3 linked regions of the Saccharomyces cerevisiae S288C genome follow. The protein of the gene in region 3 interacts with the protein of the main gene of each other region in a pairwise test. Each region holds a gene or a part of one and is shown on either strand. Other genes may lie near its edges.

Region 1 (3,209 bases), on a different chromosome or scaffold from region 3:
GAACCTGTTGTAAACGTTCGCGTTGGCAACCATGATAAGTTAACAAGACACGTAGGCGTTCGCACTAAAACACAGCATTGCTACTAAAGTACGTTACTAAGAACCAGTAAAAATAAATATGTATAAATAAAATGTAGATACAGCTGATTCCCAATATCTCATTTCAGAAATGATCAACACCAGGCGCCCAGCAACGTTCAATCTATCTACGCTTCAGTACTACTAAAAGTGGGAAAAACGTGGGCTTTTAGTCATTCCCTGCAATTTTAAGAAAACTGCATATACTAGTAGTACATTCGCGATATAATTATGATGTTGGCCTTTTTAAAACAAAAACCAAAAGGAATTTGATTATAACAAAACTAAAGAGGTGTGGAAAATTAATACAAACCTTCGACTTTTTATAGTGCGGTTCCTACACTTTTTTTTTTTCCCGCTTACCCTGGTGATTGATTTTTTGGGTTCCGTTGTAGGGCTAGCACGAAAATAAGAATTAAGTAGCAAAATTTGAGATTTGCTCACTTTACATACAAAGAGCTTAAATAGTAGTATACTAGTAGTAATGCTAATTCTTATCACCTTTCTTTGCCGACTTCTTGATGTATTTTGGCGGAAACTTTTGATAAAATACATAATAAGCCCACGTAATAGTAGCAACAACAACAAATATAATCGACTTGTACGGCTCGTTCACGTCTAGAAACGGGTATGGATAGGCTTGGCCTTGCCCCGCATCTATCAGGAATGCTAAATATTGAAAATATGAAAATGCTAAACTGGTTACAATGAGCCATGCATGCTTATTCGATAATTTGAATTTCGTGCCAGATCCCGATAAGTAGTGATCGGCTAGTAAATATAAAATAGGATATAAGTGGATTGCCATATCCACTGTCATAGGAAAAGGTGTCTTTGCAGTAGATTCAACTCCATGCATTATTAAGTTGACAAAAAACAATCTAAGCGGCCAATAAACGGTAGCAACAATAGATTCTAATACTAAAGAAACTGGCAAAGTGACATGTCTACTAATAAAGTCTGATTTTTTCTTGGTTTCTAGATTCATCTTATTGTTTCTTTGGATATAATAATTAGAAATGTTAACCGCGTTATTAATGATTGTTGCAATAATAGATATAATGGTTAGAAACTGTTTATGGCCTGCTTTACTTAAACTTGGAGGTAAGACTACAGATGTGGCCCTAACAAACCCCCAGGTGCTCGTCAAAAGACACGCGGTGTTAAGGGTCAAAGTAAAACGTGTTGGTACCAGACAAGACATCATGGATTCTCCTTGTATTATGGTTTTAAAATACGAGAAAAATTTGCTAAGAATACAGCAAGACTAGTGTAGAGATAATCACTGACATATAGAAAGTGACTTATATAATTCGAGAAAAAAGGGACTTATATACTTATCGGAGATCTTTTCATTAAATGCGAAGCGCAGACTTCTCTAATCCGCGGATCTTGTCAAATTTAATGAGCAAGTCTGAAAAGGAAAAGAGAGCGATCATTATTTTTAATTGTCGCTTAAACAAAGGATTATATGTCACTTCTGCATGCGTTTCACGCTCTGTTTTTAGATGCTGCAAACAGGAACCTCTTATAGAATTTGTATCCCCAAAAATGATAGCATTTGTTCAAATAGATGGACGCTATTTGACAAAAATGTTAACATGTGACATTCACGTCAGAAAAGAGGCCAAAGAAGGAAGAGGGTACCAGCAAATACATAAACTTTCCTAAGGAATAGGTTAAGTTCTTTTATTCTGCATGTGTGGATGCTTAAGGTCATTTTAACGAATGGGTCCATTAGCCCCGCGCCTTTTTCAGGTCAGCGAACGCTTATAATTCCAAGCCATCTCATGTTATCTCATTATTTTAATGTGAGCGAATATGCTTTTTTTTTTTCAATTGCTGCTATGAGATTATTGCTTCCATTACTAATGGTAGGGTTCAAGGAGGCTGAAAAACTGGATGGAAACGGAAATGAAAAATAAGGGGGAGGCGTAACGGTGGCAACGCTGCATAGTGAACAATTCATTACCTATTTATCATTTTTAGTTGGAATTTGGCCACCTTATGGCACATTTACCATTTGAGGGATCTGAAGATCAAGTCCGCCTTAAGGGTGCATATCATGCGTCATTTGTCTGCGTTAAGGTGCAGACGCTTCCCTTGAAAATCGCCGAAAGAAGCTAAGCCGAAGTGACACGGGCCTTTTCCTGCGTCAAAAGAAGCCGATGATCTACCAGAAAAAGATCATTCAACAGTTAAGGGCTACAGTAGTTCTCAGCGAATACCGGCTGATGTACAGAAGCGAATTCCTGTTGGGGAATCTCACTGTACCCTTCAAATATGTAATGTTAGAGTAGCAAAAGTTCTTGGCTTAGCAATTACATTTAACGCTGATGATCCTCGGTTTATGAGCAGAAAATAGGGAAAAACGTGTACAAATGATTCTCTCAGAATGTGCAACTAGCATCCCCTTTTAGAAATGCCTTGTTGAAAATTCCCCTAAGACGTTACTCATTAGAATACTATAAAAATTGGGAGGAAAGCTAAAAACACTTTTGGTTTCTCTTGTTCCTATCAATCATGCTCTAGTATTTGATTTCGATCAGTTTTCACATCTAAGAACCCAATCAGCTATTATGAAATTCACATCAGTGCTAGCATTTTTTCTTGCAACTTTAACAGCTTCTGCAACACCACTTTACAAGAGGCAGAACGTTACTTCTGGCGGCGGTACGGTCCCCGTGATCATCACGGGTGGACCTGCTGTATCTGGTAGCCAGTCAAACGTTACTACCACAACGCTATTCAACTCTACTTCCACCTTAAACATCACTCAACTTTACCAAATTGCTACTCAAGTTAATCAGACTTTACAAAGCGAATCGTCTTCCGGCATTATAATCGTCACAAACTGGCGTTCCATTGAAACTTTGAGTTTCTTCTGCTCAATCGTTTTTAATACATCAAAGACCATTGTCATTACTGAGAATTTCTTATGGGGTGTACCAATATTGAGTAGTTCGGACGCGGAAGGTAGAGGCACTTTGGTTGCCGGTAGAGATAAAGTTGTGTATTCTGGTGTTTTCCCTCCTTACACTGTTCCTGTGGGCGTTTTGTCTGGTCAGAAGAATGTTCAATGGTTCTTTGATGCCTGTGAGCCAACTCTGATTGCCAGCAACTCCACAATC
Region 2 (4,263 bases), on a different chromosome or scaffold from region 3:
TAGCTGGATTTCATCGGGAAGAAACTTATGAGTTTCTTCCATTTGGTGAGCAACAACTTATAAGAAAGGTTTACTATCTGCTTCTCATGACAGAGAGGTACTATGCCGTATACATTAAATGTGTAACAAGTTTGGATACCACTATATCTCCACCACAACCCGAAATCGTAACTGATTCCCGACTTTCTTTGGATAGTTTTCTTGAGGTGATTAAAGTATTCACTGTTCCTGGGAAATACTTTTACGATGCCTTAGCTACCAACAGTGTTAATGGTTCCTATACTGAAGACTCTCTAAAAAGGATATGGAATGAACTTCACATAAGCTCACTTGATATAGAGCCATACTCTTACGGATACATAGACTATCTCTTTTCTCGGCACTGGGTCAGGACTCTAGCATGGAAGTTGGTACTAAATAAGAAGGATATGCGGATGAATTTTTTTTCGAATACTAACGCCACACACATTCCAGTCGAAATAGCCAAGGATATGTTACAGGATACACTTTTAACTCCAATCGACCTATATGATGTGCATGGTCCTGTGATACCAATGAAGGCGCTAGAAATAGCCAATGCATTGGTAGACGTCGTAAGTAAGTATGATCACAATATGAAGTTGGAGGCTTGGAATATTTTGTGCGATGTATCTAAGTTCGTTTTCTCCCTGAAACATTGCAATCATAAAATGTTTCAAAGGTTTTCAACTAAATGTCAGAGTGCTCTAATCGATTTGCCTATCTCTAGACCACTGCGCCTAAATGATGATTCCAAGGATGAAGTCGACATTATTCCCTAAATGAACTTTATCTTCTTACAGTTTCAACATCTTGTGACCTGATGATTTTCCTCAAATGAACTTTTGCGTTTTCATTGAGAAAATTTCATTATACTTTATTTTTTTTATAAATGGGTACCAAGGCATTAAATATAGATCTGGTTTACTAATCTGAAGAAATTGTTTTCAACCACATAATTTGTGCAATTTGGCGCTATACAAAGCCCATGTTGGCTACATTAGTCTTTGAATCCTTTAGATTGCCTGAATCAATAGCTCATTCAAAATATTTTGGACAATCGATAGTTAACTGTAACATGTGCTGCTATATAGTGGCAATCTAGATGCATGTATCTTATATGATTAAGTATAAAAGAACCACAGCAAAGCTAAACGTAAATAAGTAGTTTAGAAAGTACTGGATATGAGTTAAGAATCTGTTAATTGAGCATGACATGAAAATTTTGTATTAAAGCAATATGAGTCGTCACATTAAATATATGAAACTACGGGAATTACCATCATATTGGTCATGATTAATAATAAACCAATCAGCATGTTTTTACCTCTATTATATTAGTCTTGGACCCGTATTCAACCTTCATTAATATTATCTTTTTACCTTTGTTCATAAACACAATACATTGTTTTTGCAAAATATAACAAAAAAGATTAAGGAAGAGGACCATGTACACTACGATCTTACTTTTGAAATAGAATTTGTTTATTTTTTCAAGATGTTAAACGAAGATGGTGAGTAATATTCACAAAACATTGTAAAAATATTACTTGCTTCATTCTGCGAATTGTTCAAACCCGTAAAGAAAATTTCTAGTATATGATATATGCATAATATCAATAGCTTTACAAAAATAGAATCCGAAAACTATCTAGAAGTTTACTCGTTTCTCAAGTTTTATTTAACAAAACATAGACGAGCTTTATTTCGTGTGAAGAAGTGAAGAAGCTTTAACAAAACTGTATTTCTAAAAGAACGTTACTATACAATAAATTATAAAACTGCATTAACCAATGAAAAAAAGCACTATTAATCGAAACTCGAATATGCAATATTGTTAATGTAAATTAAGCTATCGGTCCGTTTATTTTTCTATCGAAAAGCGGCTTAGTTAGAATGGTTGATAAACGGCTGCGCTTCGTAAAAAGAAATGACATCTTGGAACTACTTTAAATAGAAGTTTAAATCTCATGATCATGCTCATCTGTTTGTACAACACATAAGCTTCACCGTCAGACATATATGCAATGAAGAGTACTTTGAGTTTAACTTTATGTGTTATATCGCTTCTATTAACCCTTTTTCTGGCGGCCTTGGATATTGTTATAGTGGTTACTTTATATGATACAATTGGCATTAAGTTCCATGACTTCGGCAATATTGGTTGGTTAGTTACTGGATATGCTCTTTCTAATGCTGTTTTCATGTTATTATGGGGTCGCTTGGCCGAAATACTTGGTACAAAGGAGTGCTTAATGATTTCTGTTATTGTATTTGAAATAGGGTCTTTGATTTCTGCTCTTTCGAATTCAATGGCGACTCTGATTAGCGGAAGAGTCGTTGCTGGGTTTGGAGGAAGTGGAATTGAATCACTTGCTTTTGTAGTTGGAACATCCATTGTCCGAGAAAACCATAGAGGAATTATGATAACGGCACTCGCTATATCGTATGTCATTGCAGAGGGAGTCGGGCCTTTTATTGGTGGTGCATTTAATGAACATTTGTCTTGGAGATGGTGCTTTTATATAAATCTTCCAATCGGTGCGTTTGCGTTCATAATATTGGCATTTTGTAACACATCTGGAGAACCACATCAAAAAATGTGGCTACCATCAAAAATCAAAAAAATTATGAACTATGACTATGGCGAATTATTGAAAGCAAGTTTTTGGAAGAATACATTTGAAGTACTTGTATTTAAACTAGACATGGTTGGGATTATTTTATCTTCAGCAGGCTTTACACTACTGATGTTAGGTCTTTCATTTGGTGGAAACAACTTCCCATGGAATTCGGGTATCATTATTTGCTTTTTTACCGTGGGCCCTATCTTATTGTTACTATTTTGTGCTTACGACTTTCATTTTCTGTCATTATCGGGGCTTCACTATGACAACAAGCGGATCAAACCGTTACTGACATGGAATATTGCCTCAAATTGTGGCATATTTACAAGCTCCATAACAGGATTCCTTTCTTGCTTTGCTTATGAATTACAGTCTGCTTATTTAGTCCAGCTTTATCAACTAGTATTTAAAAAAAAGCCTACATTAGCGAGTATACATCTTTGGGAACTATCAATTCCAGCTATGATTGCAACTATGGCCATAGCATATCTAAATTCAAAATATGGCATCATCAAACCGGCAATTGTTTTTGGTGTGCTTTGTGGGATTGTTGGATCTGGTTTATTTACGCTAATCAATGGCGAACTCTCTCAGTCAATAGGTTATTCAATTCTCCCAGGAATAGCTTTTGGTAGTATTTTCCAAGCAACGTTATTAAGCTCCCAGGTGCAGATAACATCAGACGATCCAGACTTTCAAAACAAGTTTATTGAAGTCACAGCTTTCAACTCGTTCGCCAAATCCTTGGGCTTTGCGTTTGGAGGGAATATGGGGGCAATGATATTCACTGCATCACTCAAAAACCAGATGCGCTCTTCCCAATTAAACATACCACAATTTACGTCTGTAGAAACACTTTTAGCGTATAGCACAGAACATTATGATGGCCCCCAATCTTCACTATCAAAGTTCATAAACACAGCTATCCATGACGTTTTTTACTGCGCCTTAGGATGCTATGCTCTTTCATTCTTCTTTGGAATATTCACTTCGAGTAAGAAAACAACAATATCAGCCAAAAAGCAACAATGAACAATTTTCCAACGTATAAATTAACTTATCGTAGTTCGATAAAACTAGACAGTACTTATATATTATCTAACATCAGATGGTTTGTCTTTCATTATTTATTTAGTGATTAATGCTAGCTTTAAGCAAGCTTAGTTGCCTCAAGAAAGATTAATATTAAGCTACTGAGGATATAGCATTCGAATATAAAGATATAATCAAAGCTCATAATTACAAAATACCCTGTGATTAGGATATCATTATTACTAACAACACCGTTCCTAAACTAGCAGAAAGTTGACCAACTGTATAAAAATTAAATTTGTTCGTAAATACATATACATAAAATCCGCATTAAATGTGGACTTTCAGTTGAGCAAGTGTTAATGAATATCGTAGGATAGCAAATGAAGATTCGAATTTGATGAGGTCTCTTGTTCCGAGAACTATTGTTTAAGCCAAACCAGATTCAGTGTCTGTACTAAACAGTTGTCACAGAAAGGTGGTAGCTTTACTTTCCGTACATTAAATACAGAAAAATTACCACTTCTGTTGAAAATACTGTTTTGTGGGTTGGGATAATATAATCGTATATAATATCAATAAAACT
Region 3 (4,191 bases):
TAATATAAATTCTGGGTTAGGAAATCATAATTGATCTCATTCCAATGCACTAGAATACCTATGTACACACGAAAGTGCTTAAGTTATCATATGACGAACAGAGAATATCATATGTTCCATTTTTATTTTTCTATAAACAAAAGTTGCGTATTATTGTATTTTTTTGTTGTGTTATGCAATAAGCAGAGGCTACGATGTATTAATTAATCGGTTCCTCAAAAAAAAAAAAAAGTGATCTATAAAGCGTTGACGATAATCAATACTTTGTTATATTTTGGTAGTCCTGACGGGTTTCAAAATAAACAAAGTTAACAATCCGCCTACTAATTTGATTTGCTTTTTTTCATGGGCAGTAACATCAAGAAAACACTTTGTTGTTAAGCCCATCTAAGTATCATATTACCAAATCTTCTGTGAGTAAAATGATATAATAGGACTCAACGTGACTGTCAGTCTTCAGTAGCCCTGGTGTTTAATATATCGAATCAGTCTTAGGAATTAAAAAGCCCCTATATTACAGAGGGCATTGGACATTATTTATCAATGTACTTTGAAGTTTGCTTGCGTGTGTTTTCACCGGTCTAAAACATTCTTTTGTAGAAGGGTTTCTCGTCATGCTGTAATTTTTCGTTATCATAATCACCATCCCTTCTAGAAGCTGGTACCCAGGATTCAGATTTCCAAGGTAATACACCGTCCATCCACATCTCATCAACTTCTTCTAAAGTTAGACCTTTTGTTTCTGGAACAAAGAAAAAGACGTAAAAATATGAAAACGCTAAGCAACCCATGAAAACGTAACCGTAGTAGAAATTAATTGCCGAAGTAATAAAAGGAGTGAAAAACCCGATTAGGAACCCCCACAATAAGTTGGCCGCTGTTGCAACGGACATACACTTGGATCTCACCCTTAATGGAAATGTTTCAGAAATAATCACATAACATACAGGTCCCCAGGTGCAGGAAAAGCAGAAAATGTAAAAACACGTGAAAACAATCGTACAATTACCAGCACCTTTAGATGATGGTTCACTTTTACCGTTCGGATATAGTCTTGTGACGCCAACGGAGGCGTAAATAACCATGCACGCCGTCATGGTGGCTGCTCCAAGTAAAAGACATCTACGACGGCCCAACTTATCAACAGAATAAAGTGAAAAGAAGCAAGAAGCAAAATTCACAATACCCAAGACAATTGAAGTCTCAAAAGAGTCATTCATACCGACAGATTTGAAGATAGTAGTACCGTAGTAGAAGAAATAGTTGTCACCGGTTAGTTGCTGCAGAGAGTTAATCATGACTGTCATCGTTAAACGTTGAAAAACTTTAGTCTTTCTCGAAAATAATTCCTTCCATGAAGCAGTTCCCATTGCTTCTTCTGCCTCCACACCAGCAACAAGAAGATCAATCTCTGCAACCACAGCAGGATCGTCAACACTAAGCTTGTTCGACTTGGCAAAAGAAGCTTTAGCTTGCTCAATCTTACCGACTTGCACCAAAAACCGAGGAGATTCCGGAACAAACGTCATACCACCAATCATAATAATAGCCCATGCAAAACATAGACCAAGCGGAACACGCCACTGGACAGAATTCGAGTAAGTCTTGGTACCATAATTGGTACAATAACCCAAGAAAATTGCGAAAGTCACCATCAATTGCCAACAAGCTAGCAACGTACCTCTGATATGCTTTGGCGCAGTTTCCGAAATAAGCATCGGGGCAAGAACACTAATGGAACCAGCACCTATACCAGCGATAATTCTTCCAATAAAATACTGATACCACTTATCTATAGAGGCAATTTGAATGACAATACCAACCATATAAACGACAATAACTATAATCAAACCCATGCAGCGGCCGTAAATATCACCCAATTTAGACAAGAAAAGACAGCCAATGGCGCTTCCCACATTGAAGATGGACACAATCAACCCAGTTCTCACATTAGATAAGTAGTAAGTGTTCTTGGAATGGCTATAATTACCAAATCTTCTTAAAAAATCAGTCTGATTGACGAAACCAGAAATCGTACCTGTGTCCCAACCGGACATAAATCCACCGAAAGCCATACATAAACACATGATAGAAACAGTAGCATAGGCTGAAGCAGGCTTTTCTGGAACAACAACTTCCTCTGCCTCTTCCCCATTATACTCGGAAAAGTCCTTGTTTTCCTCCACTGTAGGTACTGACAGATGTGAAGAATTTTCTATCGAAGGGCAGCCATCATCTTCTGCCTCTTCGAAAATCGGTTCTTCTGGCAAGTTGGTTTTACGATCAGTCATGGTTTTTGCTGGCGTTCTGAGCTAACTAAAAGTGACTTATAAAAAATGCAATCTAAAATAAGAATGAAACAAAAATGGTCGTTTAAATATATCTAGTCAAGCTTCATCCCTTACAATGGTTAGCGATGATATTCCGTCGTCCAAAAGATTACGACCATGCCAGTTCATATTATTTTACTTAAGAGTTCATGTCTTTCATGCGAAGAAGCGTTCGGAAATTCCAAAACTTCTTAGAGTTCAGGAACAGGCCCGGTCGCGGAATTATTCTCGGGATAATTCCAGCCGCTTGGCAGGTAGGCTAAATTACACATTTCAAGAACTTTCTCCGGCCTTTTCTGTGAGATACGTTTATAAGTTGCTGCAGCAGGATGCTCTAGGCTGCTTTCTCTGGAATTTCTCTCCTTCTCCACATACCTCGTTGTTGAATCCCCGCGGAGGTGATATAATAAAGTTGCGTGAAAGCGTAAATGCCTAGACGGAGAAAAGAAAACGGGGAAATAAACTTTGCATTATTTTTCCTCCGTGGAGAATCCTCGGAGAAACACGGGAATATTTGAAACTATTTGCAACATTGTCCATTGAAATAGTCACAATCCTAGAAGCTAATTCACCGGAAAAAGTAATTCACACTTAAGAATTGTATCTTCCATTACCGCTACGGTAATTGATACGGTTTTGAGGAGTAAGTTCATAAACGTCTGACGAATTATAAATTAGGACACTTGTTCACATATCTTGGTGCGAAAAACTACTGTTTCTTGATGACTATATAGAAAGTGCTCAATATTGAAAAGAAAAACATGACGATCATCCATAATCCTAAATGGTGGAAAGAAGCCACCGTCTACCAAATTTATCCTGCTAGTTTCAAGGACTCCAACAATGACGGATGGGGTGATTTAGCTGGGATTACCTCCAAACTTGACTATGTCAAAGAATTAGGTGTCGATGCGATATGGGTGTGCCCATTTTATGACTCTCCTCAAGAAGATATGGGTTACGATATTGCCAACTATGAGAAGGTTTGGCCACGTTACGGTACCAATGAGGATTGTTTCCAAATGATAGAAGAAGCTCATAAGAGAGGTATCAAGGTTATTGTTGACCTGGTTATCAACCACTGTTCTGAAGAGCATGAATGGTTCAAGGAGAGTAGATCTTCTAAGGCTAATCCAAAGCGTGACTGGTTTTTCTGGAGACCTCCAAAGGGTTACGATGAGAAAGGTAATCCAATTCCTCCCAACAATTGGAGATCTTTCTTTGGTGGATCTGCTTGGAGATATGACGAAAAAACTGGTGAGTTCTTTCTGCATGTGTTTGCTCTTGGCCAACCTGATTTCAATTGGGAAAATGAAGAGTGCCGTAAAGCCATTTATGACTCCTCAGTGGGCTATTGGCTACGTCACAACGTTGATGGCTTTCGTATTGACGTAGGCAGCATGTATTCTAAGGTTGAGGGCCTACCCGATGCTCCTATCACTGATCCTACAGTTCCTTACCAAAAAGGAACTGAATTTTTCATAAATGGGCCACGTATCCATGAGTATCATAAAGAAATGCATAACTACATGCTCTCGCAAGTTCCAGAGGGTAAAGAAATCATGACTGTTGGAGAAGTTGGTATCGGGAATGAAGACGACTTCAGAGTTTATACCAGTGCCAAAGAAGGAGAACTAAATATGATGTTCAACTTCAAGCACACCTCAGTAGGTGAAAACCCAAAATGCAAGTACGAACTTATTCCCTTTACTTTAAAAGACTTTAAGCTGGCTCTTGCTGAAAGCTTTCTGTTTATCGAAAACACAGATTGCTGGTCGACCATCTATTTGGAGAATCATGATCAACCTCGTAGCGTTTCGCGTTTTGGCTCAGATTCTCCTAAATGGCGTGAGATTTCGTC

Evidence for each region.
Region 1: the proteins of HXT8 (region 3) and YHR140W interact in a protein complementation assay, tested with the Saccharomyces cerevisiae proteins (one large-scale study listed by BioGRID).
Region 2: the proteins of HXT8 (region 3) and SGE1 interact in a protein complementation assay, tested with the Saccharomyces cerevisiae proteins (one large-scale study listed by BioGRID).

What each region holds. Positions count from the first base shown.
Region 1 is NC_001140.6:378,648-381,856, reverse strand, and holds YHR140W (uncharacterized protein), read right to left. Parts: upstream 1,286-3,209; coding exon 566-1,285; downstream 1-565. Other genes in the region: YHR139C-A (uncharacterized protein), read left to right, coding at 1,438-1,749; SPS100 (Sps100p), read left to right, coding at 2,658-3,209.
Region 2 is NC_001148.4:931,989-936,251, forward strand, and holds SGE1 (Sge1p), read left to right. Parts: upstream 1-2,045; coding exon 2,046-3,677; downstream 3,678-4,263. Other genes in the region: YPR196W (putative maltose-responsive transcription factor), read left to right, coding at 1-800. UniProt on the Saccharomyces cerevisiae protein: Drug export permease. Multi-copy suppressor of loss-of-function mutation of GAL11. Involved specifically in transcription of GAL4-dependent genes. Can link GAL4 with the basal transcription machinery if GAL11 is missing.
Region 3 is NC_001142.9:24,987-29,177, reverse strand, and holds HXT8 (hexose transporter HXT8), read right to left. Parts: upstream 2,292-4,191; coding exon 582-2,291; downstream 1-581. Other genes in the region: oligo-1,6-glucosidase IMA5, read left to right, coding at 3,092-4,191. UniProt on the Saccharomyces cerevisiae protein: Probable glucose transporter.